Drosophila melanogaster: one gene and its partners. Changing the gene in region 1 together with any one later gene gives a genetic interaction. Each region holds a gene or a part of one and is shown in the gene's direction. Other genes may lie near its edges. The genes, in order: rdgB, stops, Arr2 and PIP5K59B.

The links.
Region 2: of rdgB (region 1) and stops, changing one suppresses a phenotype caused by changing the other (phenotypic suppression), as found in Drosophila melanogaster (one study listed by BioGRID).
Region 3: of rdgB (region 1) and Arr2, changing one suppresses a phenotype caused by changing the other (phenotypic suppression), as found in Drosophila melanogaster (one study listed by BioGRID).
Region 4: of rdgB (region 1) and PIP5K59B, changing one enhances a phenotype caused by changing the other (phenotypic enhancement), as found in Drosophila melanogaster (one study listed by BioGRID).

What each region holds. Positions count from the first base shown.
Region 1 is NC_004354.4:13,759,076-13,766,653, forward strand, and holds the start of rdgB (retinal degeneration B), read left to right. Parts: upstream 1-3,676; 5' UTR 3,677-3,870; intron 3,871-3,993; exon of another isoform or gene 3,994-4,036; intron 4,037-7,578. Other genes in the region: Yp3 (yolk protein 3), read left to right, coding at 527-731, 794-1,176, 1,249-1,923. UniProt on the Drosophila melanogaster protein: Catalyzes the transfer of phosphatidylinositol (PI) and phosphatidic acid (PA) between membranes. May control phosphatidylinositol concentration in transport vesicles from the subrhabdomeric cisternae (SRC) to the rhabdomere.
Region 2 is NT_033777.3:31,164,567-31,172,033, reverse strand, and holds the start of stops (slow termination of phototransduction), read left to right. Parts: upstream 1-3,429; 5' UTR 3,430-3,560; coding exon 3,561-4,007; intron 4,008-4,608; coding exon 4,609-4,708; intron 4,709-5,574; coding exon 5,575-5,684; intron 5,685-5,754; coding exon 5,755-5,858; intron 5,859-7,467. Other genes in the region: Gycbeta100B (guanylyl cyclase beta-subunit at 100B), read right to left, coding at 701-1,025.
Region 3 is NT_037436.4:8,644,968-8,651,789, reverse strand, and holds Arr2 (arrestin 2), read left to right. Parts: upstream 1-2,853; 5' UTR 2,854-2,964; coding exon 2,965-3,820; intron 3,821-3,887; coding exon 3,888-4,082; intron 4,083-4,144; coding exon 4,145-4,299; 3' UTR 4,300-4,529; downstream 4,530-6,822. Other genes in the region: Pex7 (peroxin 7), read right to left, coding at 1,074-1,248, 1,331-2,083, 2,152-2,243; CG13305 (uncharacterized protein), read left to right, coding at 5,260-6,041, 6,502-6,622, 6,706-6,774. UniProt on the Drosophila melanogaster protein: Regulates photoreceptor cell deactivation. Arr1 and Arr2 proteins are mediators of rhodopsin inactivation and are essential for the termination of the phototransduction cascade.
Region 4 is NT_033778.4:22,871,333-22,881,871, forward strand, and holds PIP5K59B (phosphatidylinositol 4-phosphate 5-kinase 59B), read left to right. Parts: upstream 1-3,436; 5' UTR 3,437-3,696; coding exon 3,697-3,784; exon of another isoform or gene 3,785-3,840; intron 3,841-4,096; coding exon 4,097-4,131; intron 4,132-4,234; coding exon 4,235-4,384; intron 4,385-4,562; coding exon 4,563-4,760; intron 4,761-4,812; coding exon 4,813-4,955; intron 4,956-5,017; coding exon 5,018-5,515; intron 5,516-5,569; coding exon of another isoform or gene 5,570-5,581; coding exon 5,582-5,674; intron 5,675-5,742; coding exon 5,743-5,875; intron 5,876-5,926; coding exon 5,927-6,014; intron 6,015-6,409; coding exon 6,410-6,472; intron 6,473-6,823; coding exon 6,824-6,910; intron 6,911-7,007; coding exon 7,008-8,107; 3' UTR 8,108-8,229; coding exon of another isoform or gene 8,230-8,446; intron 8,447-8,537; coding exon of another isoform or gene 8,538-8,710; intron 8,711-8,800; coding exon of another isoform or gene 8,801-8,886; intron 8,887-9,145; coding exon of another isoform or gene 9,146-9,159; 3' UTR 9,160-10,104; downstream 10,105-10,539. Other genes in the region: CG13532 (uncharacterized protein), read left to right, coding at 464-527, 610-803, 898-1,060, 1,936-2,044, 2,123-2,304, 2,496-2,575; EMC8-9 (ER membrane protein complex subunit 8/9), read right to left, coding at 10,175-10,539.

The sequences.
Region 1 (7,578 bases):
AAAAATTTGCATTACTTTGGGAATTATATGCATAAATCTGTAAGTGTCGTTAAAACCAAATGATAGTGATGATACAAATATATCACGATGCAATACTACTAGTGGTCAACGATTTTCCAATAATCTAAATCTTAACACTTTATGAATGGATTTTTTTTTGCCCATTTTTTGCCAAGTGTGAAGAGGTTCAAAAACCTTAGTGCGATAAGAGAACTAAATGGTTGGCAAACACACACACATGTGAAATAAATCCGGCTATTTGCAATCAATTTTCCCTTGACTTGCACTTTATACACCGGCGACAGATCAGCAGAACGAAAGGGGTGGGGAAAAAACTGGAAGCCTAGACAGCCGACAACGACGACAACGACGACGACGACGACGACTTCCTGGTGGTCAGCAGAAAATCGCTGGCAGTGCGCTATCTGGAATCTGAGCTATATAAGCCAGAGATGGGGCTGAAGGAAGCCATCAAACGTCGTTTAGCGTTTGGCCTGATCTGATTCAATTCCGGATTTGCACCAAAATGATGAGTCTAAGGATTTGCCTGCTGGCCACCTGCCTCCTGGTGGCGGCCCATGCCTCCAAGGATGCCTCCAATGACCGACTGAAGCCGACCAAGTGGCTGACCGCCACCGAGCTGGAGAACGTGCCCTCCCTCAACGACATCACCTGGGAGCGTTTGGAGAATCAGCCGCTGGAGCAGGGCGCCAAGGTGATCGAGAAGATCTGTGAGTAGAAACCGATGTTGCTGGAAATCTCCAGAGATAACCTCCTTGTGAATCACACCTAGACCACGTTGGCCAAATCAAGCACGATCTGACCCCCAGCTTTGTGCCCAGCCCGAGCAATGTGCCCGTCTGGATTATCAAGTCCAATGGACAGAAGGTTGAGTGCAAGTTGAACAACTATGTGGAGACGGCCAAGGCACAGCCCGGATTCGGCGAGGATGAGGTCACCATTGTCCTGACTGGTCTGCCCAAGACCAGCCCCGCTCAGCAGAAGGCCATGCGCAGGTTGATCCAGGCCTACGTCCAGAAGTACAACCTCCAGCAGCTGCAGAAGAACGCCCAGGAGCAGCAGCAGCAGCTCAAGAGCAGCGACTACGACTACACCAGCAGCGAGGAGGCCGCTGACCAATGGAAATCCGCCAAGGCTGCCAGCGGCGATTTGATCGTAAGTTGGTCGCATTCCTATATTTCATAATTAAACGTGTACATATGGATATTTATGAAATTCAAATTGCAGATCATTGACCTCGGCTCCACCCTGACCAACTTCAAACGCTACGCGATGCTGGATGTTCTGAACACCGGCGCCATGATCGGCCAGACCCTGATCGATCTGACCAACAAGGGTGTGCCCCAGGAGATCATCCATCTGATCGGCCAGGGAATCAGCGCCCATGTGGCCGGAGCTGCTGGCAACAAGTACACCGCCCAAACCGGACACAAGCTGCGCCGCATCACCGGTCTGGATCCCGCCAAGGTGCTGTCCAAGCGTCCCCAGATCCTGGGTGGTCTGTCCCGCGGCGATGCTGACTTCGTTGATGCCATTCACACATCGACCTTCGCCATGGGCACGCCCATCCGTTGCGGCGATGTTGACTTCTACCCCAACGGACCGTCCACCGGTGTTCCCGGCTCCGAGAATGTGATCGAGGCTGTGGCCCGTGCCACCCGTTACTTTGCCGAGTCTGTGCGTCCCGGTAGCGAGCGCAATTTCCCCGCCGTTCCGGCCAACTCGCTGAAGCAGTACAAGGAGCAGGATGGCTTTGGCAAGCGCGCCTACATGGGTCTCCAGATCGACTACGATCTGCGCGGTGACTACATCTTGGAGGTCAACGCCAAGAGCCCCTTCGGTCAGCGCAGCCCTGCCCACAAGCAGGCCGCCTACCATGGCATGCACCACGCCCAGAACTAGAGCGCCCATGGCCACGCCCCCTGGTTACCAGGGACGTTCGATCGTCACGCACTTTCTGATAATCAGAAAATAAAAACCCGGAATGCGTAGTTTAGCTTAGAAGTTTCATCAAACAATCAAAAAAGAAAAATCTATAAAATCCCATAAAAATAAAAGCTGCAAATTTTCGAAAAGTCAAGTTTTTTAATAGCAATAGCAATGGTTATTCTGGATTGGATTCTAACTTTTATGGTATTAAAAAACACACACAAGAATTTGCTGGGCACATTTTTAGGCACCCCTTCTGAAGTAAATAGAAAAATTTCCGAAAATATACATATTTAACATAGTAAATCGGCCAAACAACTTAAATGAGCTAATAATAAAAAGATAAATGCATATATCACAGGTGATCTTAAGCAGATGCTTAACCAAAAAACAACACGATAAATAAAGCAAACAAAAAGTGCCTAAAATACAATTATGATACCTAATGAAAGGTACACGAAAGAAAATGTAGATAATAAATAAACTGAAAAGAAATTAGGAATAACTCATAAAAATCAAAATTTAGAAAACTGTGCAGCTTGGTATTTACTAGCACCCTAGATGCTTAACAGGATTGCGAAGTTGGGATGGAAATACGCACAAGGAGATGGATGCATTGAGTGGGCGGAAGTGAGAGTGAGGCAACTAGTGTCCGTTGCCATTTGATGTGCACTCAATTAAAATTTGCATTCGGTTTATCGTTAGTGACTACTCGTTCAAAAATCACTGGGCAACCTGTGTAAACTCAATTGTTCCTTACAGTTTTGGGACATGCGCGGTGTAAATGTCAAAGTTGAACTTTATCAAATGCAATAGACAAACTAGAAAGGGCAGCGAAAACAGCAGAGTCGAAAATAGAGCGAGATAGGGAGCTGGAGTGACAGGAGCGGAATGACAACAGTTGGCGTCTTTTGTTTGTGCATGTCGTGACATGTTTGCTTTGACTCTGACCGAACGGAATGCGCCGTTAAGCTTATCTTCTTACCGTACACTTAGAGCGTCTTCTCTCTCTCTCTCTCTCACTATTTGCCCTTCAGCGTTTGTTCTTCTTTTTGGGCTTGGCAAGCTCTTGCTCTCGCTGCTTTTCTCCAGAAGAGAGCGCACAAGGACGCCGGGACGTTGGCATTTTGTGGGGTTCTGGCCATCCGAGTTTCTTGCAGAAATTACTGTATATTATTCATTGGCCGATATGCATAAATCCAATTTACGAAACCCCCCCTTTTCAGCCTAGCCAGCTGAGTGTCCCCGCAAAAGGAGAGAAAGGCAAAGAGAGTGAGAGTGACGCTTTCTCGCGCGCTTTTGTTGCGCACAAATAAAGTAAGGGGTTTTCCGCGAATCGTCAGTTGAGAATTGAGAACTGAACTGACCGTTTTCAGAAACGGTGGCGTTTTAACTTTTTTGTTATTTAATTAGTCCTTAAATAGTCCTTTTCTAAAATGTACTTAAAACATGTATGTATATGTAATGTAGAAATAGTTTTTTAATATCTAAGCAAAAATTATCCAGATTGCAAATATGTACATACATACATATGTATTTATGTATATACTAGTATACTTTTTATGAGTCTGGCGATTTTGCGGTGATACTCATTTTCGGAACGCCTCGCTCTCTCCGCTCATTTCTCTTGGCTTTGCTTTTGCTTTAGCTTCGTTTGCTTTTCGGCGTTCGTTCAGTTCAGCGTTCGGCGTTCCGTTCAGTTCATTTCGGTTTGGTTCATCTTACTTCAGTTCGGAATCAAACGCGAGCCGAGTCGCAATCGCAACTTTGCCGCCGCGCAGCGCACGCTGTTTTTTTTTCAGTGTGTACGTTTTGATTGCAAAAAGAAATAAGCAAACGCAAGGCAAGCAGCAACAACGCTGAAAACATTTTTCATCTGCGGCCTGGAAAAGCGCCCCGAAGAAAATGAATAGATAAATTGTATTAATCGCCCAATCGAGTCAGCATATATCCACTGTATATTTATATTTTGTTGTGCGTTGTTCGTTGTTTTTTTTTCTCCTTTGCGCTTTGGACCTTACTCTTTTGTTGTTAATTGTCCAGCTGCCCGCAATGATAATAATGTGAGTTGGCCCGCCGAAAGTTGGTACGTTTTCCACTGCTGCTCTTTTTTCACCTTTGTTTGTAACAAATGGAATAGTTTACAACAAAATTCGTAAAATTAGTTAAGGATACTTCGGTTGTCGTGTGTGTGTGTGTGTGGGTGGCAGCTGCGTAAATGCGTAAGCTGCGTCGCGTTTGTGTAAGTGTGTGTGTGTTGGCTGTGGCCAGGTCTCAAGGTCCCGTTAGCTCTCTCCCACCGCTCTTCCTGTTTCACGCTTTTGCTCTCTTTTACAAACAACAACAAGTCTGTGATAAGAATTTTCCATGCGTAATTTTCACGTAAAGCTTTGTTTTGTTATGTTTGGTACTTTTGCACTTTTATAAATCGGATAAAGTTTATTACAGTTCAGCGTTTTAAAAAGTCTTTTATAGCCATCTTAATGATTGATTTTTTAAAGTATTTTTTAAGGAATTTAAGTCAAATTAAAAATAAAAATATTAATTTATAACTATTTCTTTAAAAAAATGCTTTAATCTAAAAATGATAAATTTCTTAAGAATAATATTGTTAGAAATGTTTTCATTATGAGTTCATAAAAAATAACTTTTTTTGGTTAATGTTCCATAAATAATTTTTTACACATTTCATTATACTAAAAAAATAGGAACTTAACTCAGATGAAAAATAAAAATATTTATTCGAAAGCACTGCTCTGGAATTTATAACCATTGGTTTTTGAAAAAAAGTCTTTAATCTTAGAAATTATGAATTTCCTATGATTAATATTTTTAGGAATGTACATTTTTCATAAATGAGTCTATAAAAGATATCTTTGTACAAAATAAATATTATTATATAGGCCCTTTTTGAGATGAACCCAAGAAATACGTTTGTTGTGTTCTTATTTTTGCTGCTTATTGTATTTATAAATTATTAATAAGCACAAAGCGTGCCACAGGTGTGCACGAAGGAGTGAGCGAGACGGGGAGAGTGGGTGAGAGCCAAAGAGAGAGTACGTGACCTTTTTTTCTTGCTCTTTTCCGTCTAATTTAGCTCACTAAACTTGAGACTCGGATTTAATAGGCTTTCTTTCAACCTTTGCTTTCTTTGCATCCCAACCCGTCTATTTCTGTCTCTGTCTCGCGTTCATTTATTTCCGCTTGAGTGCGTTTTCTGTTGTTGTTGCTTTTCTTCGTTTTATTACCTTTTTTTGCACATTTTTCTACACCTTTTTTTTTATTGTATTGCTTGGTCAATTACCATGGCAATTTATTTATCAGTTTGGCGTTTTTGATGTTGCAACAATTGCGCAAATTTATTTCCTCTATTTTCACTATTTGAGCTTCTGTCTGGCAGACTTAATAACAAAAATGGTTTTGTGCATAAAAGCGTGGAATTTTACCCATCTTCATCTTATGATTTTACACGGAGAGAAAAGTATATCAAGCAATCTTAAAAATAATTTAAATATCAGAGTGGACATGGATAAAATGTGCATTGTGTTAATATATTTTAATAATATTAATGAATGAAAATATTTGTGATATTGCTCTTACTTTTCTCCGTGTGCATACCCTTGCTTTACCCTTTGGTCACATCATAAACAAAAATTTTTTAAATGACAAAATACATCATAAACAACCACATTGAAGGCTACGTGCACTTTGGCCGGATCTTTTATAGCCAGCACATGTGTGCGTTTGTAATTTGTTTATTGATGCACAGTGGGCCGCTTTTTCATCTCCGGGCTGCTATATCATTTAAAAAAAAAGGTGTTTTCTAGTCTAGATTTCTCGAATGCCCCCCGCCAAATAAGAAGACTTTAAGCGAATCGTAAATAATGTCCATTTTTTTATAAGCCCCATAAAGGAAGCTCCATTGTAATAAATCTTATCGCTGCAAAGTTTTTTCTCATCGTGAATATTAACATTTCTTATCACTTTTAACTGCAGGTGCTTTCTTCTTATATGAACTTTACTTGTGTTCTCTAAAAGTCGTAAAAATGTACATACATATGAATATTAAATTGGGAAAAGTAATTGCAGTTGTAAACAAAACCTAGCATTCTTCATATAGTGCTAACTGCACATTGTTACTTTCGCTAGCTTAACAGAAATTTTTTACACCAAAAAAGTTGTTTCACAACTTTAAAACAGTGGAAGATACATGTTTTCGTTATGAAATTATCTGTTTTTCTTATATATAGGACACACTTTCGATAACCTTTGACCCAGTGTAGCAAAGAAAATCTGTTGGCGCATTTTCTGTGTCACAAAATGTAATTATGCTAAGGAGGCAAAAAAAAAAAACAGAAAAATGGTGATGTGTGGAGGCTAACGGGGGGTGGAGAGTGCTAGGCGAAAAGGGGGCGTGGCATGGCAGGGGGAAGGGGGCCTAAAGCGGTGGCCATATTGTTGGGGCTTACGATTCGTTACGGCCTGCCATGTAACTGCCATGACATAAACATGTGCATGTCTGTGTTCGTTTCCCCTTCCCCCACTGCCCGCTGTGCCCAATAATTATTGATTGACGGCCCTCCTTTATTGTGCCTCTTATTTTAGCATCTAGAACATCCCGCCCCCTCCCCCATTTCCCCAACAATGTCTATCCAGATCTTATTAGGATCAAACCATATATAACTACAAACTAATGAAACTATGCCATAATATAATTACATATATCAAAAGCTTCTTTTTAGTAATTTCATATAGAATGAATGTATTGTATTATGTATTAGATATTCTGTAGCTTGTTTTTCTTAATCTCATAGTAAATAGGGAAATCTAAACTTTTGCGCAACATGGTTGAGTGTTGAGTTTGCATGCTAAGTGCCACTTACATCAATTTACAAAATCCCCATTCCCCCCTTTTCGACCAACACAAAAGCTCCAATTAAAAAGTAAGCTCCTTTGGGATCCATAAATTGGATGGGGGAATACAATAGCACTTAATGAGGAGCTGGACAAATTTGTGGTCGAGATAAATACGCGATAAGATCTAAACAGATTAGGAGTCTAATGAAGGTCATTAGCAATGGAAGTTCACAGCTTGTAAGCACAGTGGGGCTACGTAGTTAAGAGGTTTAATTGTAGTTTAAGAATATATATATGCTATATGCCCAAGAATATTCTATTATATTTGATAATATAAATATATAGATATATAGATATACTGACAAATTTCAAGTAGCTTAGATTTTAACTTAACGTTCTGTGCGGAAATATTCTTCACTTAATAAAAATGATCAGTTAAGTTCCCTTTAAGCAATACCCACTGTAATTACTTGATACGAAACTAATTAATATTTCTGCACGGGAATTCATCACTTTATTATCAGTCATAACGATAATTCCCCTATCGCCGTTTGAACTCGTCTTAAACACGTGTTGGCCCGCCCATTTCTCCACCCCCTAAATTAGCCCACCACCCACTCACCCACACTCCCTCCACTCTCCTTAGCTACATTCCTATAGGTCAAAATGCGATGCAAATGCGTCAGACGACATCCTACATAGCTATGTATATAGATAGATATATATATATACACACACATACCCACACCACCTGCCCCTCAGGCCACCTGA
Region 2 (7,467 bases), on another chromosome or scaffold:
AAATATTCTTTATGACTGGCATTAGAATTTGTTCCGATAAGGCCCCGGAAGGGCGAGGCTAATTTCCACGGATTGCAGTACATGACATGATAATGTGGAATAAATTACGTGCTCTGAATGTAACACTTTGTATTAATCATACGATTTGCGCACATTAGGTTAAACTCTAACCACATTTGCATAGATAGCACAAGTTTAAGTGAAAGCTAGGTTAAATTCATACTTTCCACTTAGTGAGTAAAAGATAGTCAATACAATCTACACAGTTCTTAAACCCAAATGATGGTTTTTCCAGCGTAGACACGAGAAATGTAAATCATTTGTAAAGTGACTGGGCTAAGTGGTTGGCCCGGATGGTTGGCTTGAATGGTTGCAGATAGAAGAGCATTAACATAAATTACCTTGCACAACGATCCGACGTTCCTCGGGCTCCGGCCGCAATGTGCCAGCAGCAACAATCACACAATGCCAAGAACACACACTTGGGTTTATGGATGCAGGACGCGGGAGAAAGGACACAGGACACAGGGCGTAGAATGCAGGATGCAGGATGACAAACACAAAGGCATAGAAATGAAGTGGTTAAGTGGTCCAAGGACCTGCAGATTTGGCCGCAGACATTCGGACAGATGGAGTCACGCACGCAGTGGCAACTTTACAGGATGTTTCAGCAGCAGCAGGACGAGTCCTTGCACAGTTCCTATGTGCCCACAACCGCTCCTCCTCCTCCTCCTCCTGCGGACGAAGTACGTGACACGCTGGCATGTCCTGCTGCCCGCTGGGCGACTACGGGAATGGGCGTGGCCGCGCCAGCGGTCGGAGTGGCTGGCTGCAGCAGCGGCGAATCCAAGCTCCCGTTTCCTCCGCCGCCACTGCCTCCGGTCGAGGAAGTGCCTCCCAAAATGCTGCTTGTGGCACGCGTCAGGAACCAACAGTCCATGGGCGTCGGTTTGCCCTTCATGATAACGGGTCCGCGGTACTCCAAGTGGAACGAATCATCCTGGTTGATCGCCATACAGAGGAGCCTGCAAAAAGGAAAGGAAAAAGGGGCAGATGCCATAAGTTTCAGGGCGGAAGGCACTGTGTAAACTCAACTGTTATTCTTCTTTGGGGTTTAGTATAGTGTAAACTGAAATTTCGTAAATAAAACTTTCTTAAGTAGAGTAGCGCAGTAAATAATTCTATCCAAAATTACAAAGTAATCACCGAGTTTTAATATCACTTACGAAGAGAAATAAAGACAGAACGTTATGTATAAGCTATATCTTTAAGATGCAAGCAAATTCAGTAAGCAAAGAATAGTAGTGCTTAACATTTGAGATGTGACTCCTTTGGCAGTCACATAAATTCGAGTTAGGGAGTTCCGTTGTGGACTTGGTCTGATGCCATAATGCACTCTGAATGATGTATATCTCGGGGGTCGTTTTTTTTTCTCAATCTGCACACCAATAAATTGCCATCGTAATTTCCACAGTGGGAGACCCCTTATTCAGCTATTAGATTGCATCGCCAGAAATTATGTAAATTCGGTTATTGTGCTCCATGTGCCCGCACAATCGAGTGCAGCATAAAACGGAAGCGAAATAAAAATTTCGCCAGGCTTGTGTGCATTTCCGCTTCCGCTTGGCTCGACCACAGTGCAACCACACATTGTTGCATTTATTCGGACTCATATATTTACGGCCAATACGCCGCTGATTGGATACGAATTTAATTCAATTAATTCGCTACCTTTGCGGCATCGGATAGCCTGCATATGGCCACAATTGCATTGCCCTTTTAATTAGCGCTCAGGTGAGCCTGTTCAGGTGAAAATATTGCCATGTTGTCCTGGGTAACCAGCACAAATATGCACCGTTTTAATGGACCTGAGTTAATTACACTGTGCCGAATGTCCTTCGACACTTATTTGCATATGCGATTAAGGCGAAGGACCCGAGGAATCCCTACCAGACATGATTATCCCAGTCATCATCTCTGGATCCCTTGGTGTGCGTTCTTAATTAATGTTTATGGCAGTGCTTAAATATTTACCCAGCGCTTAATTGTCAGCCCAAATATTAAACGTGCAAATACGGCGAATAATGGAATGAGTGGGCCTGAATAATGTATGGGAAAATTGATATGTCCCGCATAAACAAATATTAATTGGCAAAGGGTGATAGAAAAACATGTAAACAATGTGCACAATTGCTATTTAAAATATGAATTTATTTTGTAGCTGAGAAATTTACATGACAATTGGAGTCGTGTTTTAAAATACATTTGACGTGGCTAAAGCTCGAGAAAACACTCCTATTGTTTACAGATTTAAATCCGTGTATATGAATATTTGTTGCAATATTTATTTCAAAATGATCCCCTTGAAAATGTAATGGATTCATTGAAGGGGGATTAGTAAATCTCTAAAAAGATAGCTTAAAGCGGTTCGCTTTATGATAATATCGGTTTCACTCTGGAATGAAGTATCGAGTGACTTTGTATTAGTTTTCAGTTTTCCGTTGTAAAATCAAATTCATTAATGATTTAAACCGAAAAAAGCACTGAAACATTAAACAGCACACCATCAGTATTTATTTCGAAATAAATATATTTTTGTTGAATCAAGCATAATCCTTATAATGACAAACCAATTATTTTTCAGTTTAATATTGCAAAATCACAAAAACCTGCGTTTTTATGCGCCATTTGATTTTATGCTTATCGCCAAACATTACCCATTTAGCACAAAAATAATGTGAGAGCATACATATGTACTATATATTTTAAATTGAAAATTCCAATTTAGAATCTAATTTAGCTTTATGCTCATGAAACGCGTATTTAATACCTCCGCTACTCTCTGTACAAAGAGAGAGTGGAGAGAAAGCGGGAGAGTGAGCGCTTAGGTAAACAGCTGAGCGTTCTTAGAAATTGGACTTCGTTTGTTTAGTTTTCCAGCGGCAGCTGATGAGTGGGGTGGAAAATTGTGTGAGTGCGCTGCGTGCAGTGAATAAATGGTTCGGAAAAATGCCAGCAAATTTCAAAGTGCAATAGACTGTTTAGCAAAAACCAATCGAATTGAATCGAATCGAATCAGTTTCAATGGAGTCCTCGAGTTCCATTCGGTTTTTGAAGAGCTCATAGAAATATACTTGTCGGCTGGTAATCAAACACCTGTTTGCCAATTGCTTTGCTGGGAGCTTCACGGAAATAAAGAGGCCTAAAAAGTAATTGAACTGTATATCAGCTTTTGAATAAGCTTTACATACTATGTAATTATTTTCTTATATGATTGCAATGCTTAAAAATATTAAAATGAATATTCCGCATGCTCATTATGAGTTGTTTATGTTTATCAAAAGTTCTCCCAGCACATCATTGCCAGCTGCAAAAAATCGATAGCGCAAGAGAGTCACCCCCGCAAAAGAAATTCTCTCTTTTTTGTGTATTGCGACTCTTTGGCTTCAGCGGTGCGGGAGTTTTTTTGAAGCGGAATTTCAATTCTTTGGAGGGAATCATCAATTCAGCTCAATCGAAAATATTTGCCTACTTAAAGTGAATTAAATTTTGTTTGCAATATGCTTTCGCAGTTGCTACAGGCTTTCCAGCGGCTGGTAAGTCAATTAAAAAGCCAATTTGTGTGGGTTCGCTGCTGGTTGCCATTTCCACGGCATTTCTACGGTTTCCGCCGGGAAACTGAGTCACGGGCACGGCTGCGTCTGCGGGTGCGGGAACAACTGCGTCGGAATCCTGCCAATAGGGCCAGTCACCAGCGGAACCGGCGAACCCAGCGCCGCCATCTGGTCATGGACTACATCTTCGAGTGCTTCTTCGACGACACCTTCGAGCAGATCTCCCGCAACGGACTGCAGGACCGCCAGTCGCGGCGAGATGTCCTCGACCACCTGAGCTCCATCATCAAGGGCTGCAGCGGCGGCCAGAACTCGCAGACGGATGAGGTGGCCGCCATCGCGGTGACGGCGGCCATGAGGTACCACCGAATGGCCAAGGAGCAGAACGGCCAGGTGAGCTTTATGTACAAATCGAGTGTTGCCAATGTGGCATTTCTGTGTGCCAAACTTCAATAGTTAATATGAATAAATATTTACTTAAAAGAGTCCATACAAACTAGCACTGGGCTTTAGCAAAGCTCAACTTAATTAATAATGATTTGACAATTAGTTTCCGGTACTTAAAAAAACGAAATAAATAATTAGAACAAAAGCCAAGTCAGTCTATTTCGTTGTCGTATTAAATAAATGTTAATGTTTAAACCAAGCCTTATGAATGGAAACCAATGATTAATTAGCCAAATAACATTGCTTTGCTTTTGAGTCGAATAAAAGTGGAATTTAATAAAGCTTTCTAGAAAACGGTTAGAAAAGTACTAAAACTATGCATAAATATGTATATCCTGCTGCTGCGATCCAATTGACCTTTTAGAGTGTAAATAAATATGGAAAGTTGTTTCGGGCTTAATTTCCTTTGGCAGAGTCTGCTAAACTTAATTTTCTTCCATTTTAAATGCCATCTCTTCATATGGCAATTATTTATAATTTAAAAAGTAGCACTTCAGTTGGGATTCAGCCCCTTCACCACACCCTCCATTCCATGCGTATTCCCCAGGTCTGCCTCATGGGCAAGTATCACAACATCCTGTACATCGGACTGCGCACCTGCTGGGATTGGGGAGTCCGGGACTCGGAGGTGGTCGTCAAGCTGCTGGGTAAGTGGAGTCGGGCCAACTAAATAATTTAATTTAAATGCATATGTATGCGTATGTGTGCGTAAGCGTATGCGAGTGAGTGTGCGTGTGTGTGTGGCAAGACTTTCCTGTTTGCTTTTTGGGCGTGGCTGTGTGCTTTGCATACTTTAATAAATATCATCCCATCGCATCGGATTATTACGCCCATAAGCAGGCAGTTTTCACTTTAATCACGTGTTTCTGCTAATTGCGTTAAGAAAGTGTTGCTGATGTCGTTCTGTTGCTCTGTTGTTGCTGCATCGTAAAACTTGTAAAGTGCCTCAAAGTGTTGCAAGTTATTTGGGGCGTACGCATGTTGGCTGCCTCTAATTAAAAGGCTGCGTAAACTTTTGCGAGCAGGAAAAGTGCCTGGAATTAATGGCATGCCTCTGTCAGGGAATCTGGACTCGTGTGCAATAAAACTTGCTCCTTGTTTGTCCTGTCCTCACTCACCAAGTTGCTTTGTTGCTGACTCCAGCCTTTTGGACCCGCTGGCCTTGGTTTGGCAAACATTGTGGCCGTTTCCGTTTTCCGCTGACTTCATTTCTGGGCTGTGCCAAAAAGCCAACGAAACCGAAAGCCAAAAAACCAAAGCAGCAACAAGTGCAGCCACGTAATTAGCTTTTTTATGGCTGCGCTGCTGCGATTTGATGACATTATTTAACCGCTTTCTCCACTACCGACAATTTGCCTGCATCGCGGGAAAATCGGTCACAATGTGTATACAAATTTGGTTTATGGCATTACCCACTTCGAAATGTTATTAAACGTGGCTTGTTTTATATAAATTAACTTTTAACTATTTTCCTGTTCCCATGACTAATTTATCCCCTTTTTGTGCAATTCAGTGGCCATTTACGAGTGCGAGAAGACATATGAGCGCATTTTCCTGGGCGCCCTGTTTGGACCACATGCTCCGCACTTCATCGCCGGCTGGCGCAGTGACTTTCAGGATCAGGTGAGACTGGCAGAAAGACCCTATTCCTGGCCCCGTGGAATAGACACCCATGTATGTCCTTTGTTCGCAGCACGAGAATGTCCGGGCTATGGTTTACTTTCTGAAGCACGCCACACGCGAACAGCTCACATTGCCCGTCTGGATTCCGCGCTTCGAGCAGGAGCGACAGCTCAGGTGAGTCCTCAGCCCGGTCCCCATCCTGTCCTGACATTCTCCCCTTTTCCCCACTCCCCCCTCTTCACTCTTTCATGTGTCGCGCTCTTTTGCTGCCTCGAGCGATTTTCACACTAGCCGGGTTAATTGGATAGTTGCCTGGGTGCCATGCCGAGGTCTTCATTCCCCCAAAGAGTTTTTCATACTAGCTGTATGCTTGGACATTTATGGAGAGCTCTTACTTTCATAACAGTCACAGTAAGCCTTTCTATACACTTAGCTTATGGCTATCAGAGCAAATTATAAGTTGCTTACAAAGCAAATCGCCAAGAATTAAAGATTAAACTTTAAAATTCGGATTATGTGCCGAGATACCGATCAATCTTAATGGCTTGCCAGTTTTCCACACAATAATAATGTTTTCGGTAACAATAAGATACTATAAATACCCGCTGGGAATGCAAGGAAATGGTGGACGAACGTGAAGGGTAACCAGAGAAATGAAAGGATTTTAATTAAATTAATTCATCAGCCATTGTTGTGGCACCTACACAGAGTGTGTGTGTGTGTGTGACTGCCATAATTGAGTGAAAGATGGCGACAATTTACAACCACAGACACGACTGCGAATACACTTTTACAGAGAATGGCTCTCAATCACTGGCGGTGGCTTTCTCTCACTTCTGCTGGTGTCATGTATAATTAAGATTTTCATTTGCAGCTTGCTTTTGGGGGGGGGTTTCCCATTTTCCGCCTTCTTTTTCCGACCCTCCCACATGCACATGAGGTCCGTGTGTGAGTGTCGCTGATGCGATAAGCTGAAAACCAACAGGCAGCGATGTAAACCTTTTGTTATTTCGGCTTTGTTCGCCAGCACTTCGGAGGATTAAAGTCAAAAATGCGTGTAATAAGCGCACAAAGGCATGCTCAACCCCACCACGCCCACTAATCCACACAGATACAGCCCGCCCCCTTGGATATACCATACCCATACCATTGCCGAGTTGACTGTTTGCGCTTCTTAAACAAACAGAAGGCAAAAAACATACTGACTGGCAAGCATTAAGACGACATTTATGATGCCCTCTCGCAAAACAGCAGCCAAAGTCATGAATAAGCGTCAATAGCTGCAAATGTATGTGGGTGTACGATTGGGAGTGTGTGTGTGGAGTGTGCGACCCAAGAGCTGAGAAAAACAAGCAATGTGACAATAAACGTTTCGGCCAAATGCCGTTGAAGTTGCATAAATCAGTGCTGGAGCAGCATATTGCCAAAGTTTTCGCAGAACAGTGAACACTCGTGAAAAGGAATTGTGTTGAAGCTAAAAGCTCACAATGAGATTTACACAATTTACTTACGATGTTAGGGTTCTAATGCAACAGTAACGGATTTGCAAAGAAAACACCTGAAAAGGGTGTTTAACAAAACACTAAAACCTAATTGTTTATTGAGAAAAAAACATGATTTAATTCAGTAATTGCATGGCTTAAATGGCTTAAAATAGCAAGTTACATTATTTCACTACTGCATTTGCATAACCTGCCGACTTAATGGCACTCGGAATAATTTATACCCTCCAAGGCACTGGGAACTTCACAAGCTGAGAACTCATACTCTTTTCATCGGATTT
Region 3 (6,822 bases), on another chromosome or scaffold:
TACTGGCAAAACACTCCTTCATTAAATAATTATTTAAAATAAAATGAGGTGCCGAATTCCCATCAAGATCTGTCTTCGCCTAAGGATAAATTCAGCACCTCTCAGCTTGGCAGGCTCCGAATAACCGATTTTTATTAACACAAACAAGGCATTAATATCAATTTTGGCATCACTTGACTGGCGAGCAGATAATTACGGGTCAGCAGCTGCTGTTCCCTGGTGTCGAGAATCGAGAGTAAGGTCCTCCTGATCTGCCCCCAATTGTCAGAAGAAATCAGCGCCAATTGGCTTCAAAGCAAATATTTGCCCCGAGTGGCAGTTAAAGCGCAGTCTGTTGATAATGACGGGATCGGGGTGCCAGGATCTGGGATCTGTGATCTGAGTTCGCAGGGAGCAACTGCTGCCATTTCACACCATGCCATGCCGAAAAGGTGCGATGGCTGGCACACCTTTGGGCAATATCCACCTTGTTGGCTGTGTCAATTCCGGGAATGACAGGGATTTCGGCTCCACTCGGGCAATAAAACGTTGCAGCAAATTAGCGCTTTATTGCGTGTTTGTTTGGTCAGAGTTAAGCCAACCGGATAAGGATGCCAAGTCAATCTCCGTCAGCGTCTGGCTGGCTCTTTGCCACCTAACCAATTCGAACTCCAATTCCGTGATCCGTTAAATTCTTGTTAAGACAAGGGCCGAGTGCAAATTATAGCCAGGGGCCAAGAAACTTATTGCGAAGGCCATAATAACATACAGAGCAGCGCAGAAAACCCATATAATTCATATAATACTCGTGATATATGTAAGCTTTTATTGACATTTTGAAGCACCTGCTTGAGGTTTTAGCCCGTTCAGCGTTTATCACACAGCTATTTACACGTCATCGTTGCGCCGATGAGTCCTTGTCTTCGGTTCCTTACAGTTCCTTATAGGCATTGCATATAGCTCAGCTATCGTAATAACGGTGCACCGCTTGTAGGCCTGGCTATTTCGACGCCACTAGCGCCTTATCACATGTGTTTTCGGTATTTAGGGAGTACCAGTTCCAGTTTCCAGTTTTGGGCATGCCCTGTACTAACCTAGACGACCAGATCACCGCTCAGACACTGCGGGGTATAAACGTTGGCCAACGAGTCCCAGCCACAGTCGGCCAACTGATGGGTCCTGTGGGGATTCCAATCCAATCCGCACACGAACTCCGTGTGCCGCGCATTGACCTCCTGGGCGGACTCACCACGCTCCAGATTCCAAATCCTAAAAAGGTGACAAAAGTGGACAGTTGTTACTAACCATAAAAATGTCCTGTTTTTTGAAAGCCTAAGATCATTCCACTTACCTTGTGGTAAAATCATAATTGGCCGATGCCAAGACCGCTGCCGAGTGCGGTGAACAGGCCAATCGCCGGACAGCGAATTCTCCAGAGTACAGCTCAAAGACGTGCGTCCTCATCTTGCGCAGATCCCAGCCGCGGATCAGACCGTCCGAACCTCCAGTGACCAGGACATTGCGATCGAAGTGCGACCAGTCGCAGCATAGTGCCTCACTCGCATGCGCCTCGATGCTCATCAGGGGTTTACCTGCAAAGTCAAGAGAGTTCCATAAGTTAAGATGTCCATCGGTACTTACGCTTGCAAACAGATTGGCGATCAGGGGCGAGAACTTGGCCCCGTAGATCAGATCGTTGTGGCCCACAAATGTGGTGATGGAGTTCTGTCTGTTGCAGTCCCACAATTTCAGTGTACAATCCCAGCTGCCCGAGAGCAGCGTGTGGTAGTTCCACTTCTCGCCCCAGTCCAGGCTGTACACCTCGTTCTTGTGCTCCTGCAGGCAGATCAGCGGCTGTTTCGGCGTCAGCTGGTTGCTCGCCGATTCGCCATCCAATCCGCACCAGATCTGAAGCGATCCATCTCCGGAGGCAGTGGCGGCGATATCGGCGGCATACGGACACCAGGCGACGTCGAACAATCCATCGGACCACTCTAGGCGGCACAGCTCTCCGAGACTCTGGCCATCTGTGGATGAGGAATTTGTGTTGGAGTTCTGTTCCAGCAGAAAGAGGGAACCACCTCCAGCAAGACCGTACAGTTGGCTGGGTATCGAAAAAAAATGGTTTTCTATTAGTATATTGTTGGTTTTAGAGCTTAAGATTGATCTCACCTTGTAGCTAGCAGCAAGTAGTTAGCCTCGAAAGGCGAAAAGCGCAGGCTATAGCCATGTCGGTCTGTGGTGGTGTGTGTCTGTGTCTGCATCTTGGTTCTAGATCTCAACTGCAAAGAAAAAAAAAGGAGAGATTCAAAATAATACCAATTTCTCTGGACCTTAAATATTATCTAACATTAACTACAATGAATTGCGACCTTTGGTAAGCTAGTTGTAAGAAATGCCAATTTCAATTATACCTCTCACATTAAAATCAATATATCGACGTTTGATACATAACAAAATTAAAAACATCTAAGGTTTCTCCTTGCTGCCCACTGATGTTTGGCTAAGAGAGAACAAAACTGGCCGATTGATAACAACCCGGTAACACCAAATCGGATGCTAATCCAGCTCCAACCTACCATGCTCAATTATTCAACAGTTGGCCAAATGACCTCGTACTAGGTCGGAAAATCGGAAAAAGATACTTGACATTAGCCAATTTGCTCGGGCAAGTGGCAAACTGCGCAGAAAATAGAACAACCCCTGGAAGCAGCTTGTTTGCAGTTTTCCCTTAGTTCCTATGGTTCTATCTTATTGTCGTGTTGGACAAGCCAACAAACAAGTGCATAACGAGCAAATCCAGTTAGTGGCCAGAATGAAGACCCACGGACAGGGCCAGGGCAAAGGTATATAAGCAGGTTGTACGGCACTTGGGTTTCGCATTTTCCTCCGCCGAACGGAAAACTCTATAACGCGCATCGCCCGACTTAGCCTCGAATTGCCCAGTTGCATTTGCCAGGAATCAAAGAAATCCACTAATCCACAATGGTTGTATCCGTGAAGGTCTTTAAGAAGGCCACGCCCAACGGCAAGGTCACCTTTTATCTGGGACGCCGCGACTTCATCGACCACATCGACTACTGTGATCCCGTCGATGGAGTGATTGTGGTGGAACCGGACTATCTAAAGAACAGGAAAGTCTTTGGCCAACTGGCCACCACCTATCGCTATGGTCGCGAGGAGGACGAGGTCATGGGAGTGAAGTTCTCCAAGGAGCTTATCCTGTGCCGGGAGCAAATTGTGCCCATGACCAATCCCAACATGGAGATGACACCGATGCAGGAGAAGCTGGTCCGCAAACTGGGCAGCAACGCCTATCCGTTCACCTTCCACTTCCCGCCCAATTCGCCCAGCTCCGTTACTCTGCAGCAGGAGGGCGACGACAATGGCAAGCCCCTGGGCGTCGAGTACACCATCCGGGCATTTGTGGGCGACTCCGAGGACGATCGCCAGCACAAGCGGAGCATGGTCAGTCTGGTGATCAAGAAGCTGCAGTACGCTCCCCTCAATCGTGGCCAGCGTCTGCCCAGCTCGCTGGTCAGCAAGGGATTCACCTTCTCGAATGGCAAGATCAGTCTGGAGGTTACGCTGGACAGGGAGATCTACTATCATGGCGAGAAGACGGCTGCCACCGTCCAGGTGTCGAACAACTCCAAGAAGTCCGTGAAGAGCATCAAGTGCTTCATTGTGCAGCACACTGAGATCACCATGGTGAACGCCCAGTTCAGCAAGCATGTGGCCCAGCTGGAGACCAAGGAGGGCTGCCCCATCACTCCGGGCGCCAATCTCACCAAGACCTTCTACTTGATTCCGCTGGCGGCTAACAACAAGGATCGCCATGGTAGGATTTGGATGTGATAGTTGTGATTCTGGATAGTTTCTAATGGATTATTTAATTGTGAACTCAGGTATCGCCCTGGATGGTCACTTGAAGGACGAGGATGTCAACCTGGCTTCATCCACCATGGTGCAGGAGGGCAAGTCCACGGGAGATGCCTGTGGTATTGTCATCTCGTACTCGGTGCGCATTAAGCTCAACTGCGGCACTCTGGGAGGTGAAATGCAGACGGATGTGCCCTTCAAGCTACTCCAACCGGCACCTGGTAAGCTTTAGAAGATTACTTGAACTTGACTTCTAGTTTGTAATTCCTTTGATGTGGTATAGGAACCATTGAGAAGAAGCGCTCGAATGCCATGAAGAAAATGAAGTCCATCGAGCAGCACCGCAATGTGAAGGGCTATTACCAGGATGATGACGATAATATTGTATTCGAGGACTTCGCCAAGATGCGCATGAACAATGTGAACATGGCGGACTAGGCCACCGATCTTCAATCTCTTCTAGCTCTGTTGTGAACCGAATTGAACTAAATCGAAAGCACTGAAAATTTGTTGCAGCAGTCTCTCGTGGAGGCCACAATCTTTGTATTATAATCGTATCTATAATGTAACTTTGGTGGATCTGGAGTTTGTACCCGTACATATGCATGTTGATGAGTTGAACAGACCTCGTGTCGCTATATTATAAATGTGTTATGGCTATCAAAAGCACTCACCTTTTCTCTCGTTTGCGATGTAGTATCCAAAAGTGATTCGGTAAGGATTCGGTTTTTGGTAGTGGATTGTTCTTGGCGGTGCTGTGGGTTTCAACTTCAGAAGTCGAATGATCTAAACAACTGCGCAGCTCGACGACGAAGGATCTGCTGGCAGGAATTCTAAGGGTGATTTTTCAACGATGACAGGGGGTTGAAAAGCCCAATGCTTATAGGTCACATCGTAGGCTTTCAACCCCTTGCAAGAAGCAACAGGCTGCCAGGATATGTGTTCCACCAATCAGGATCAACCAGAACTGGATATGGCCGGCTCTAACGGTCAACGGAAGTTCCAAGCTCCAGATGTTGACAATGCGTTTGCCAAAATACACAATTTTTGTGTATGCTAAATAGCCCAAGCTTTTGACCTTGATGATGGCTAAGGCCGCCAGCTGCCAGCAGTTTGATTCTAGGTCTCATCCCCGTCAGTCTAGCTGATTTTCCTCTTTTTTTTGGTTTTTTCTATTTTACAATTTTCTCGCATTTTATTTGCCATATCTTATATAAGCCCTGCAGCTGACCGTTGGAGCATTGCACAATCCGGGGCAGCAGCGTCGATCGATTTCACACACCGCTGACTGCTGGGCAAGTGACTTCCGGCTTTTGGCCAAGCCCCGAAAAGTGGCCAACTATAAATGGCTATGTTGTTGTCAAAATGCTGCCACAAATTTGACGAGAGTGCAACGCGATGGATCTGCCAATTGGAAAGTTAAACGGACTGCTAAAGATGCAAATATTCCTCCTGCAATTGTTGCTTTTCGTTTCGCCGGCATTGTTGCAGCAGCCACATGTCTTTTACCATCCAAGACAATTGTATTACGATTCACCGCGTCTTCGTCGCTTTGAGTATGGTGCCGCTGCCACGCCCATTGTGGGCGGCTATAGTCCGGCTCCTCCGCCGGCGATTCACTTTCAGCAGCAGACGCCACACTTTCAGCTGATTAACTATCGGCCGAGTTATCAGCCCTTGGGCTTGGATTACCAGCAGCAGCAGTTGCCCGCTCCTGCCGCACCCCCTCCGCCCCTGTATCCGCAGCAGAGTGTCCAGTACCAGCAGCGGACCATCGCTCCACACGCCGATTTGGCCAAATATCGATATGAAGGTAACTATCTGCCAGTGCAACGGGTTTCGCTGCAGCAACCACAACGCCGCGTCGAGGAGCAACACCAGTTGCAGCAACAGCACTTGCAGCAGCAACACTTGCAGCAGCAGCAGCACTTGCAGCAGCAACACTTGCAGCAGCAACAGCAGCCGCAGCAACTCTACAATGTGCCACCGGCTCTTTTTACCAGCGATGTGTTGCATGTGATTCCACCTCGCATTGCCAGATTGCAGGAGCAGCAGCAGCAGCAACCCTCACAGAATGTCCAAACGGAAAGACCCAGGAGGTACGCCAAGGATCTGGACACGGATGTGGCCGAAACCAGAAGTCCAGCTGACCGAAGTGCCAAGGAAACCAAGTACTTTCAGTAAGTTAATTGGGTTGAAAAATAATTGAAAAGTGGTGGTTGCTCATTATTTTGGAATAGCTCTTAACATGCACTTCATGCCTAAAATCAATTATCCATTTTTTACACAAATTTATTAACATACATATTCATGCAATTCAGTAAGAAAATTTCGCTTGAATATGGGTGAAATTATTACGAAATAACGGTGGTGGTTCAGTTATTTATTAAATAAAAGGATTTTCCTAGTGAAAAATGGTGGATGTTTACCCTTTCGAACTTAACAAGTAGTGCCAACAGTTTTTTTTTTTTTTTTGTAGAAAAATTTTTATAGAAAAAAGGGTGAAAAGTGAGTAACATATTTTTGACAAAATGGTGGCTGTTATTTAAACAATGAAAACTAACAATTGGACAATTACAATTACTTCCTAATTCTAAAATTAATTAGTACTAATTTCTTTCTTTTAATTTCAATGCTTAGTGACATTTTCATGCGCTTTGATGCACCCGATTCGCGGAGTCATGGCCACGTCCTGAAGCATCCGAAGGCCCAGGAAAAGCGATTTGAATCCCAGCGAGGCACGAATCGTTACAAGGGCGAGGTGAGTTGAGCTTGAGAGCCAACTTAATAAATTTCCAGATAATTCGGCAGACTTTCTCCCTCTTAACCACTCGATCGACTTAGGTGATTTGGACAGATCGTCAAGGAGGTCACGGCGAACATCGTTGGGACATGGCGCAGGGAAAACTCTGAGATCAGACCTCGATTTGCATACTCCATAACATTTTTCCCATCCCCCCC
Region 4 (10,539 bases), on another chromosome or scaffold:
ATGTTCGTGTATGTGGGCTGCAAAAAGTCGATTTTTCGCTAACAAAAAGTATCCTGTCCTGTGTGGGCAAAACTTTAAATGGCCCGGGCCATAAAAGGAGATTGCCATAGTTGCGACTTGCAGTGGGAGATGTCCTGCGAGGAGCTGCTGCGTCCGAGGTGCTGAGCTCGTTGGGCCGAGAAAAGTTTGTGCCAGTCAGTGCCCGTATCCCCAGAAAAAAGCATCCCCCTGCCATTCTGCTTCTGTGATGAGATTGGTGATAATGAGTGCAACCAAAGGCCCCCATGTATCCACATAAAAGCGCAAGCCGAAAACAGACAGCACCGCGATAAGTAGAAACGTCCAACCACCACAGAAGTATTCATTGCCACGCACAACGACGGCGCGTCCTCGCGGAACGGGAGGATCACGAGCGACAGGATCTGGAGTGCCCAGCGACGCTGAGGCAAACTAGTCGGCTGTCATGGCGGGCTGGCGAGGACGAGGCCTACGCGCCACGCTGCTGGCCGTGCTCGCGTTACTCTCGGGTGAGCAGTTCTCGCATACATCCTTTTTGGGTTCCTCCAAACTAATCCTGTACTCCTCCTACTCCGCCCCCATGCCGCATAGTCACTCACTCGGTGCGCATCACCAACCTGCGGGTGCCACGCACCTACACGCTGTTCCGAGACCACGAACCCGATCCTCTGGTGCTCGACTGCGAGGTGGAGATCGGGCCGCGGGAGCAAGGATTCGTCCTCAAATGGCTGTTCAATAACCACTCCATCTACCAGTGGATACCATCGGTCAAGGGGTTCGCCATGGTGAGTCACTCGGGGTCTTTGGTCGCACCGAATTAATTAAGATTAATCGAACTCTGTCTTTGTCTTCGATTTGTTCTTGTTCTTGCGCCTGTAGGGCTTCATGAAGTCGAAGATAGACACCAAAATATTCACTATGGAGGGCAGTCCCGGTGTTATATCGATAAAGAATCCCGACTGGAACATGACGGGGGAGTACACCTGTGCAGTGCAGACCTTCGAGTCCACGGATAAGCGGAGTGCCCGCCTGCAAATAATCGGTGGGTGTCACGACCACGGCCAAAAGAAAAAGGATCGGCGGTGAAAGATGTGCGGTGGCGATGGGAATGGGAATGGGTAGCAGGTGGTGGTGGGGGTCGAAAGGTCTAAGGTGGTGGTTCTGCCTCTGGTTCTGCCGGGTAACCTGCACCCGCCCCCATCTTGACTTGGCCCCCGCCACCAGGGTGTTTGCATAGGTGTTCTCGTGTCGGTGTTTACACAGGGAGACAAAAATTATGATTTATGTACTTAAAAGCCATTAACAAAAGCCGAGAAAGCCTTACTCTAATGCGCTGGCCTTTATTCTGTCCCACTATTAGCATTCATTCTCTCGCATATCATCTTGTGCCTGGGCAATTCTAATTTAAATTTTCAACGTACCTTTTTAAGGAACTTATATTCTATTATATTTCATGATATTACTTTCTATTTTGTTTTAAAGCAACTTTGTTAGCTATATATATATATATCCATAACTACGGTTTGAATATTTTAATCTTAGTTAGTATCTGAAGTTGTTTTCAGTGCTGTAGGACAACTGTAATTGGCTTAGTCAGGGCGTTCCCAATCGAGTTCCCCTTTTAAATGCTAGGGTCAGTACTTTTTTTTGCTAGTGCAGGTGCTGGGCGCCGTCTGTGTGGCACGTGTGATTCGCTTTCATATTTGCATGCGTGTCATGTGGCAGTCTCTGCGGTGTCCGGAACCACGGCTTGTTTGTGCTGTTTTGTGCTTTTCTTTGGGACACTGTTTTGCTTGGTATTGTTTTGTTTCGTTGTTTAGTTTGACACTTGATTAATTCTCACGACTTTTTGTCTTTCGGCTCCTGTCCGCCGGCTCCACCACACACCCTTCGTCCAATCTGCTCCAATTGCGACAGTTCCTGAATCGGATTTCATGCTGGAAGCGCGGATGAGCGGTTCGCGTATGGACGTGGACATCATGTGTGCGGTCCAGCACGTCTTCCCGCAACCCATGCTGTCTGTCATGTAAGAGGATCCACTGTCCCCGGCAATTTAAGGCCGGTGAAATCCAATAGCGCAAGGACCTAATCGTTCCCTCCGCAGGTTTGACACCCACATACTGGACTCGGTACTGACGCAGTTGGACCAGGACCCCAGTGGCCTCTACAGCATGACCGTTCGCACCCGCATTCCTAGAGATCAACTCGAGTCCCCCACCCCAATCACCTGTGCGTTTATCCTAGTTGGCACCAACTACACCAAGCGCCGGGAGACTATTTTCTATGGTAAGTACAGGTAAGCCTGGATAACACTTTGCTTATAAGGACAAGTTATTCATTCATGCATCATAGCATTAAAGTAGTAAGCTAGATTTGTTTGAAATTTTTAACATCTGTCCGTTTCTCCATCCTTATAGAAAACCTAGTTTTAAAGTTAACAAAATTGAATACATAATCTAATATTTTCTTCTTTACAGATAAGGCCTCAACTATACAACGCAAGTGGACAACGGTCGCCGTAGTCATGTCCATCGCATCCTTAGCTCTAAGCAGTTAGTTTGGTAGTGTCCTTTTTATGTAGGCTACATTCGTTTTTATGTTTGGACTAGGAACTTTGATACTCCTTAATTTTTAATAGACTTTTAACGGATAAACGTAATTTTTTGCGGTATTTTTAAAAAAAAGCGCTTATTTTGTACATGCATGTATTTGTAAGGATAACGAAACACAAAACAAAAACAAACACCACAATGCGTAAGCAAACGAACCCATAAAGACAAAAAGGACAACAGTAAAGCATAACAAGAAATTCTTGTATTCATATATTTACCACATAAATAAAATATATATGATAGTTATATACGATGTATAGGTCTAATTGAGTACAGAAACGCTAATAAAAAAAATACGAAAAGAAACATTAAAAGTGCATTAAACCAACCGCCTTCGTCGTCGTTTTTCTTTGCTAAAAAACTAAACAAATTTTAAAATTGTATTTTTATTGTAAAATTACGCTGTAGATTGGACTCAAGTCACACATATAATAAAAAAAAGTCTCAGCATGACTAATTAAATCCAAATTACTTTTGTTTATGGCATCTATGGATTGGTTTAAATGAAGTTTGTTTTTAATAATTCGTTTTAATCATGTGGGCGTTACAGGGCCACAGGGTGTTATAAAATTTATTAACATAAATTATTATTTACTATTTTTATGTTTGTATATTATATTTCCACGCGTCAAAGGCTTATAAGCTTTAAAAACATTGCTATTTGCGGATTTTACAACAGTGCGGATGCTCCGCTTCACCGTCTGACTGTGAATGCAACCCTGCGTGCCTGTTCCTGCGCACACCCTTCCAGCCCTGCCGACCTTCCAGCCTTCCAGTGTGCCTATGAGTATGCAGTGAAAATGACAGCAGTGGCAGAGGAGCCATCAACATCACCATCACCGTAGACAGCAGAAACGTTGACGCCAGCGCCAGACGAGAGCCAAGGTTCCTGCCACCCAGTTAGCCCACTCGATTGGATAATCGCCGAGGATCGGAAAACGTGAAAGCAGCCCTCGAATAGCCCAAGTCCACAATCCCAGCCAGCCAGCATGTCCTAGTGAAGTCCTAGACGTGGGAAGAGTGCAGAGAAGAGAAGAGAATACGATAGCAGAGCAGGAGCTGCACGATGGCCTCCGGCGATGGCGACACCATCAACACCATCGACATGGACAGCTCCTCGGCGTCTCAGGCCAAACTGGCCGAGCCCAGCAATGGTAACTATTATCCACAGACCCCGTCACTTTTCGCAGCGTGAAAAAAATCAATGACTGTCGAATGGAAATGCCCCTGGCGCATGTGTCTCGCGCGAAGGGAGGAAGCGTGAGTGTGAATCCACCCCCGCACTTGTCAAACGGACTTCCATCGGCTCCTATTTATATTTTGGGATTGATAACAAAAGAAAGTCACACGCGACTGGAGGGAGAGTGTCCTGTCCAAGTTCAAGTTGCGGTGATTGACCAGGCGACTGCGTCATGGCCTGAATTAAACATGACTCCTAATAATGAACTCTGTCCGTCTTTCTTTAGCCTCCACCGACCATGTGGGAAACTCATCGCCCGACGTAAGTACATCCGCCTTGACCTCGAGGTCACTCCCATCCAAACTAATCGGGTCAATTACTTTCACTCCCAACCAACCAACTAACCAACCATTCATCCGTCCAGCTGGGCAACCGACCGAACCGAGCGTCCAGCAAGGCGGACAAGGAGCGCAAGATTGGCCACAGACGCGTCGGCGAGGGCGGCGAGATTACGTACAAAAAGATCCAGACGTCGCAGATCATGGGCTCCATCCAACTGGGAATCCAGCACACTGTAAGAAACATTCATAGCCTTAAGTACTGGAGCTTGCATGTTTTACTAGCACTATTTCCAAACATTTCAATGAACTCAGGGCGGGGTTACAAGATTGACCCAAGCTTGATTCGTATGACATATCTTGTATATCTTGGCTTTTTCCATCTACTTAGTAATCTTGAAATATCCTTCGCAGGTCGGCAGTCTGGCCTCGAAGCCCAAGCGTGATCTACTTATGATGGACTTCTGGGAAATCGAGAGCATCACCTTTCCACCAGAGGGTTCTAGCCTTACACCTGCCCACCATTACAGCGAGTTCAGATACAAGATCTATGCGCCCATAGCGTTTCGCTACTTTCGGGATCTGTTTGGCATCCAACCAGATGATTTTATGGTGAGTGGGCGACCGTTCCAAGTCGGCAGATACTGATGGTCCATACTTTCAGATGTCCATGTGCACGTCCCCGCTGCGGGAACTGTCCAATCCTGGTGCTTCCGGCTCTATATTCTACCTGACGACCGACGACGAGTTCATCATAAAGACGGTGCAACACAAGGAGGGTGAATTCTTACAGAAACTACTGCCTGGGTGGGTAACCCGAACAAATCTTTGCAAGAAGACCTATTTAAAAAGTGTTATCTGCATTTCAGTTACTATATGAATCTAAATCAAAATCCGCGCACGCTATTGCCAAAGTTCTTCGGATTGTACTGCCTGCAGACGAGCAATGCCAAAAATATTCGCCTGGTGGTCATGAACAATCTGCTGCCCTCGTCCGTAAAGATGCACCTCAAGTACGACCTCAAGGGCTCCACGTTCAAGCGCAAGGCCAACAAGGCGGAGCGTGCCAAGAAGTCGCCCACGTACAAGGACCTCGACTTCATGGAGCAGCATCCCAACGGCATATTCCTGGAGGCCGAGACCTACGCCGCGCTGATCAAGACCATTCAGCGCGACTGCACGGTGCTGGAGTCCTTCAAAATCATGGACTACTCGCTGCTCCTCGGCGTCCACAATCTGGACGTGGCGCTAAAGGAGAAGCAGAGTGAGCAGAGAAAACCGCTTAGGGCTCCGCTGGCCGAGGACTCCGATGTGGATGCAGACGATCCGCTGGACGGCGATGCGGCCACAGGCATCAGCAGGAATAAGTGAGTATCTCAGCTTGCTGCCAAGCCTTCGGGCAATCTAAAGATCTAACCCAGTGCGGCATACAGGTCAGTGAATCGCCAGCGGCTGGTTGCCCACTCCACGGCCATGGAGAGCATTCAGGCGGAGAGTGAACCCATCGACGACGAGGAGGATGTGCCGTGAGTGCCTCAGTTTCAGTTCCATATATTTTTCCGAGCTTACATGCGACGACCTAACCCAATTCCAGACCTGGTGGCATTCCAGCAAGGAGTGAGAAGGGCGAGCGCCTGCTGCTCTACATCGGCATTATCGACATCCTGCAATCCTACAGGCTGAAGAAGAAGCTGGAGCACACATTCAAAAGCATCATACACGATGGGGTAAGACTGATGATTCTAGCAAGAATTTGCCACTGATATATACTCTTGCAGGAAACCGTATCGGTCTGCCGGCCCTCGTTCTATGCTCAAAGATTCCAAAACTTTATGGCCAAGACCGTGTTCCGCAAGATACCCTCCCGTAAGTGGACCGGTCGTGGAAGTCGGGCTAAGTACTCGTACTGTAAGGCATTTTTGTGTGCAGTTGGCCGAGTTATGCAAGCACTCAGTTCCGGTTCCGGTTCCGGTTTCCGACATTTTTGAGTAGATAGTTAGCCATAGACACTTTCACACCATTTACATTCGAACACACCGAACACCATTTAGACACTCGTAGCTTGCTAATGTTGGTTAATCGATCGATGTGCAGCAAAAATGCAATATGGTACACTTGGCCTGAGTAGACGCCGATTTGAAGAGATACCTATATACATATCTCTACATCAAATCAATATCCACCAACAAACCGCTCTGTTCTCTGCTTTCTTTTATGGCCATGTCTCGAATGCAATCACCCACTCTTACGTACGCATATAGTGGATCTCCCAGAGATCAAGGGGAATCACAGAAAATTTCGTACCTTGGTGACCAGCTATATAGGTAAACAAACGAATGGTCGATGTCCTTTAACTTTTGATTATCTCTCACTTTCTTTACTTACACCTTTCTTAACGAGTATTTTATAGTGTTTATTAACGATGTTTTGTATTCACCACTTGGTTTTATATGATTTCGAAACGGACGCCAAAGCATGCCTCTCAATCTCACGTTAGTTGATCTCACATCCCTGGCATCCTCGGCATCCTTGGCATCCTTGGCATCCTGGCAACCGTATTGCTCTTGGCTTCGCATAGTTGCTTTGGAAGTGCTATGCTTTTTGAACTTTTTCTTTTGATCGAAACAAATTTATGCGTTCCGCAACTAATTACTGCATTTCCATCATTTTTGCAGCGCTTAAGCATTCGCCTTCGAAGAGAAAAAGCCTTTCCAAGGCTATTCAGCGCTCCATTGACAGCGACAACGAGGTGGCCTCCAGGCGTAAGTTAATCACTCTAAAAATTAATGTATACTAACCACGACTACAACTTGTTCTAAAACACTCTTTCGATTCCTAAACCTATTATAATTTGCTCAGCGGTTCACGCCTCGCACTCGCACAGCAGTGGCAAGATTCACCAGCCAGCCAAGCCGCCCACCACCGAGCCCACGCCAGCGGGAGCGGCAGGTGGAGCCGAAAGAGGAGCAACTGCCCTAGGTCCAGCAACCACCAGTGGCGCCAGTGAACGGGCACCACCGCCCGTCAAGCAGCGTACGCCGGCGGCCAGTAATCTGAAGACGCGAGTGCCACCGCCAGTACCGCCACGCGGCTCGCCACGGCGCAAGGATGCCCAGGATCGGACGACTCCAGGTACAGAACCGCACACCACTAATCCCAACCCGGCACCAGCACATACCCACACCCTTCAGGTGCCAGCGAACGAGGGCATTCCGCGATTCGGGGATCGCCGTTCGCCTAGCAATGTCCAGGATTGGTTGGAGCTGCATGATCTCTTCGATGGTCCGGACAGTGGTCCATATGGTCCATATGCACCGCCTGCTCCTCTGGCAGACCCAACGGTTACTCTACTGAGAAGTTCTTCGCTGCGGCGCCGGGATTCCCTGCACTCCGCCTACTCCACGGCTCGATCAGAAAGTAGCTTCCGGCGCCAGCAGCCAAGACTCCTCAACCACGTGGACATCTTTCAGCGCAAGAACAGCTTTGTGGCGCGCAGTGATCGGTCATCGGTGGGCTCCATAGTTCGGAGCTTTCCGCCGATCAGAGCGGAAAGCTATCGTACGGGACGTTCCCGATCCTCGGGCAGTATTCACAGCCAGCATTCTCCTAGGCGAGGGATTCAAGAGAAGCTGCAGCGACATCAGAGGCGGAAGCGTTACTTTCACTACGTGGATTTGGCGCTCGGTGGCGAGGATTGCGAGAACCAGCCGGAGGAGGATAATCTCCTGCAGTCGGTCAGTGCTTTTTTGGAGGTCAAACGAGAACTGGAGGCGACACAGCGTCCTAGAAGACCTCTACCCAAGCTTACGCTTCCCGACCCGGTCGTAGAGCCTGCGAGGAGTCCTCCTGGACAGCAGATCAGACGGGGCAAGAGACGAGCGCCCAAGGCAGCGCCCTCCACGATACCCGAGAGCGACGGCACTCAGGGATCGACTGGACGCGGACAGGGACGGGATTAGCTACTCGCTTGCACCTCGCTTACCCAGCCACACTACACCATTACCCAGCTACCTTTTATTACTACTGTCTACTTCTGCCACTCATTCCGTTGTATATTTTGCTCTGCTCATTGTATTGCTAGGCACAACGCCCTCATGCAGCTCGACTCCTCCCCCCGCCTTTGACGACATCTCCGAGGACAGCTCGAACAAGAACAGCAGCTCGTCGATAGGTCGCCGGTCTCATCATCATCACCACCATCACCAGCAGTCGCAGCAGCATCAGCAGTCCTACTATCTGGATCGCAAGATGAACATTGGACCCGCCTATCGAGGCTCCTACAAGGAGGACATTGTGAGGTATTAATGCTTATGTATGTTAGCCATCTAAGCTATCCCGCCGTCGAGTGGAAATACCCATTTGTAACAAATTGATTTATTGTTTAACTAGCGTTTCGGAAGTCCATCTGGATACATTACTGGCGGTGGACACGTCGTCGAGCAGCCAGTACGGATCCCGCGGCGGATTGGCCTGGACCCCGCCCGCTTCAGGTGAGGGCTCCACTCCCACATGGACAGAGGGCACACCAAGTTTTACGGACTCCAGTTCGAGTGGTGATCTCGGTAATTGGCACTTGAGATTTGCTTTGAAATCGCTTTTTGTGTTTCTATATCTATCTGTATATGTGTATTCGTTCACGCTTGCAATCGTAGACAACTTCTCGCCCATAAACTCATCTAAAATCGATCGACACAAGCCGACGGTGGAAGAGGCCATCAACTCTCTGTCCGCGGGAATGGTAAATATCAGAGGAGACCGACTCTAGACACGATCCCCAGCACACATAGATACGTCCCGTACCGCTGCACCCACGACACCTCCACACCTAGACAGCTCCACCCCCATCACACACAGAGTTAGACTCGCACACGTCCATGTAGAATCGTACACTACTAGAGTTTTCCAAATTGCAGTGCATCTTTCGTTTGGGTGTTCTTCCCTAGCCATTCCCCCACAGCATCCCACTGATACATGACTTCTCTATTGCATTCTTATAGATCAACTAACATAGCATGTGGTGACGGAACACAAGACACACCAACCCAGATATATCACGATGTGGACTGAGAAAGAGTCCGAGCGAAATATGCCTCATACTCTTACATACTGATTATGCTTGCGTGTTCAGGCGCTCTTGTATAGCTAGGATATAATCAAAAGGCGCCCCACGTAGAACAGATTCCCCCATGTCATGCCCACGACCACGACCACAGCCACACCCACACCTGCCCATCCCTTCCAGCGGACACTGGGTGAAAAATAACCAACAAGAGACATAACTCAATCAAGCAAAAGATATTATATACAAGCCCAAAGCATACTCCTTATACACAGAACTACAGAAGCATATAGCATATAACTGGCAAATCAAATACGAGTAAGGTGCTCAGGATGGCATCCCGTTGGTGATCAGAGATCCGTGATCAGTGATTCGTAGTCCCGGTCCCCTATACGTTTAGTGTACGGTGTAAAGAGTTCGTTATGCGTTCGATCAGATAATATGAAAATATACAATACACTGAAATTATATAAATAAACGTTTTTGCGATACTTTCGATCTCCGATATATCCACATAAGTACGTATTATGTATACCTATGTATAATCAGCAATCGCGATATTACAATATTATTGTAAAATATTTCAATTTACAAGCCAGACAAACCAAAAGCAAAATTATATACATATTATTCATCTGTATTTATTAACGATAATTGTAACGCGCTTAGGTTTACTCAACACAATAAACAGAACAGAACCGGACCGGACCGGACTTAAAAAGGATATTACAATAGGTGCACCAACAGACGGACTCGGACTGCAGACAACATTTGACTCAAAACATGATGAAAGAATTGATTATTTATTAATTAGTTGAATGTTATTTAACTTATATGCATTATTCTAAAGATTACTGAAATCCAAATGTAATTACAATAAATTAAATTGCAAGGTTGAAATTCCGGCATGTTCCCTCGAATGCGATTTTGCTAGACTAAAAAAAAAACGTACGTTTGAAACGGACGACTAGTACAGTTTCTGCAGATCGTTGAGCGGCTGATTCAGGAAGTCGTTGGTCCAGTTTTTGTCCGGATTATCTAGATGGTTGTCAAAGTCAACCAAATCCCGCATGGCTCCGCGCTTCAGCAGCAGCGACACGCCTTCCAATGTATCGGACGCCTGTGAGAGCGTAAACTTGGCCTTTGACCACCTTGCTCCAGAGTCTCCGGGACAGTTGAATACCTGGATGGCGGCTCGGTCGTGCTGCAGCGTCATCAGTTTGTTGTCCACCACCACAAAGCAGGCGTTCTTGAAGTTCTCCTGGATCTTGTCAGCTATCTTGGCGGCTGGGGTCTTGTCGACCTGGTTGTCGTAGAAGTTCTCCGGTGCTG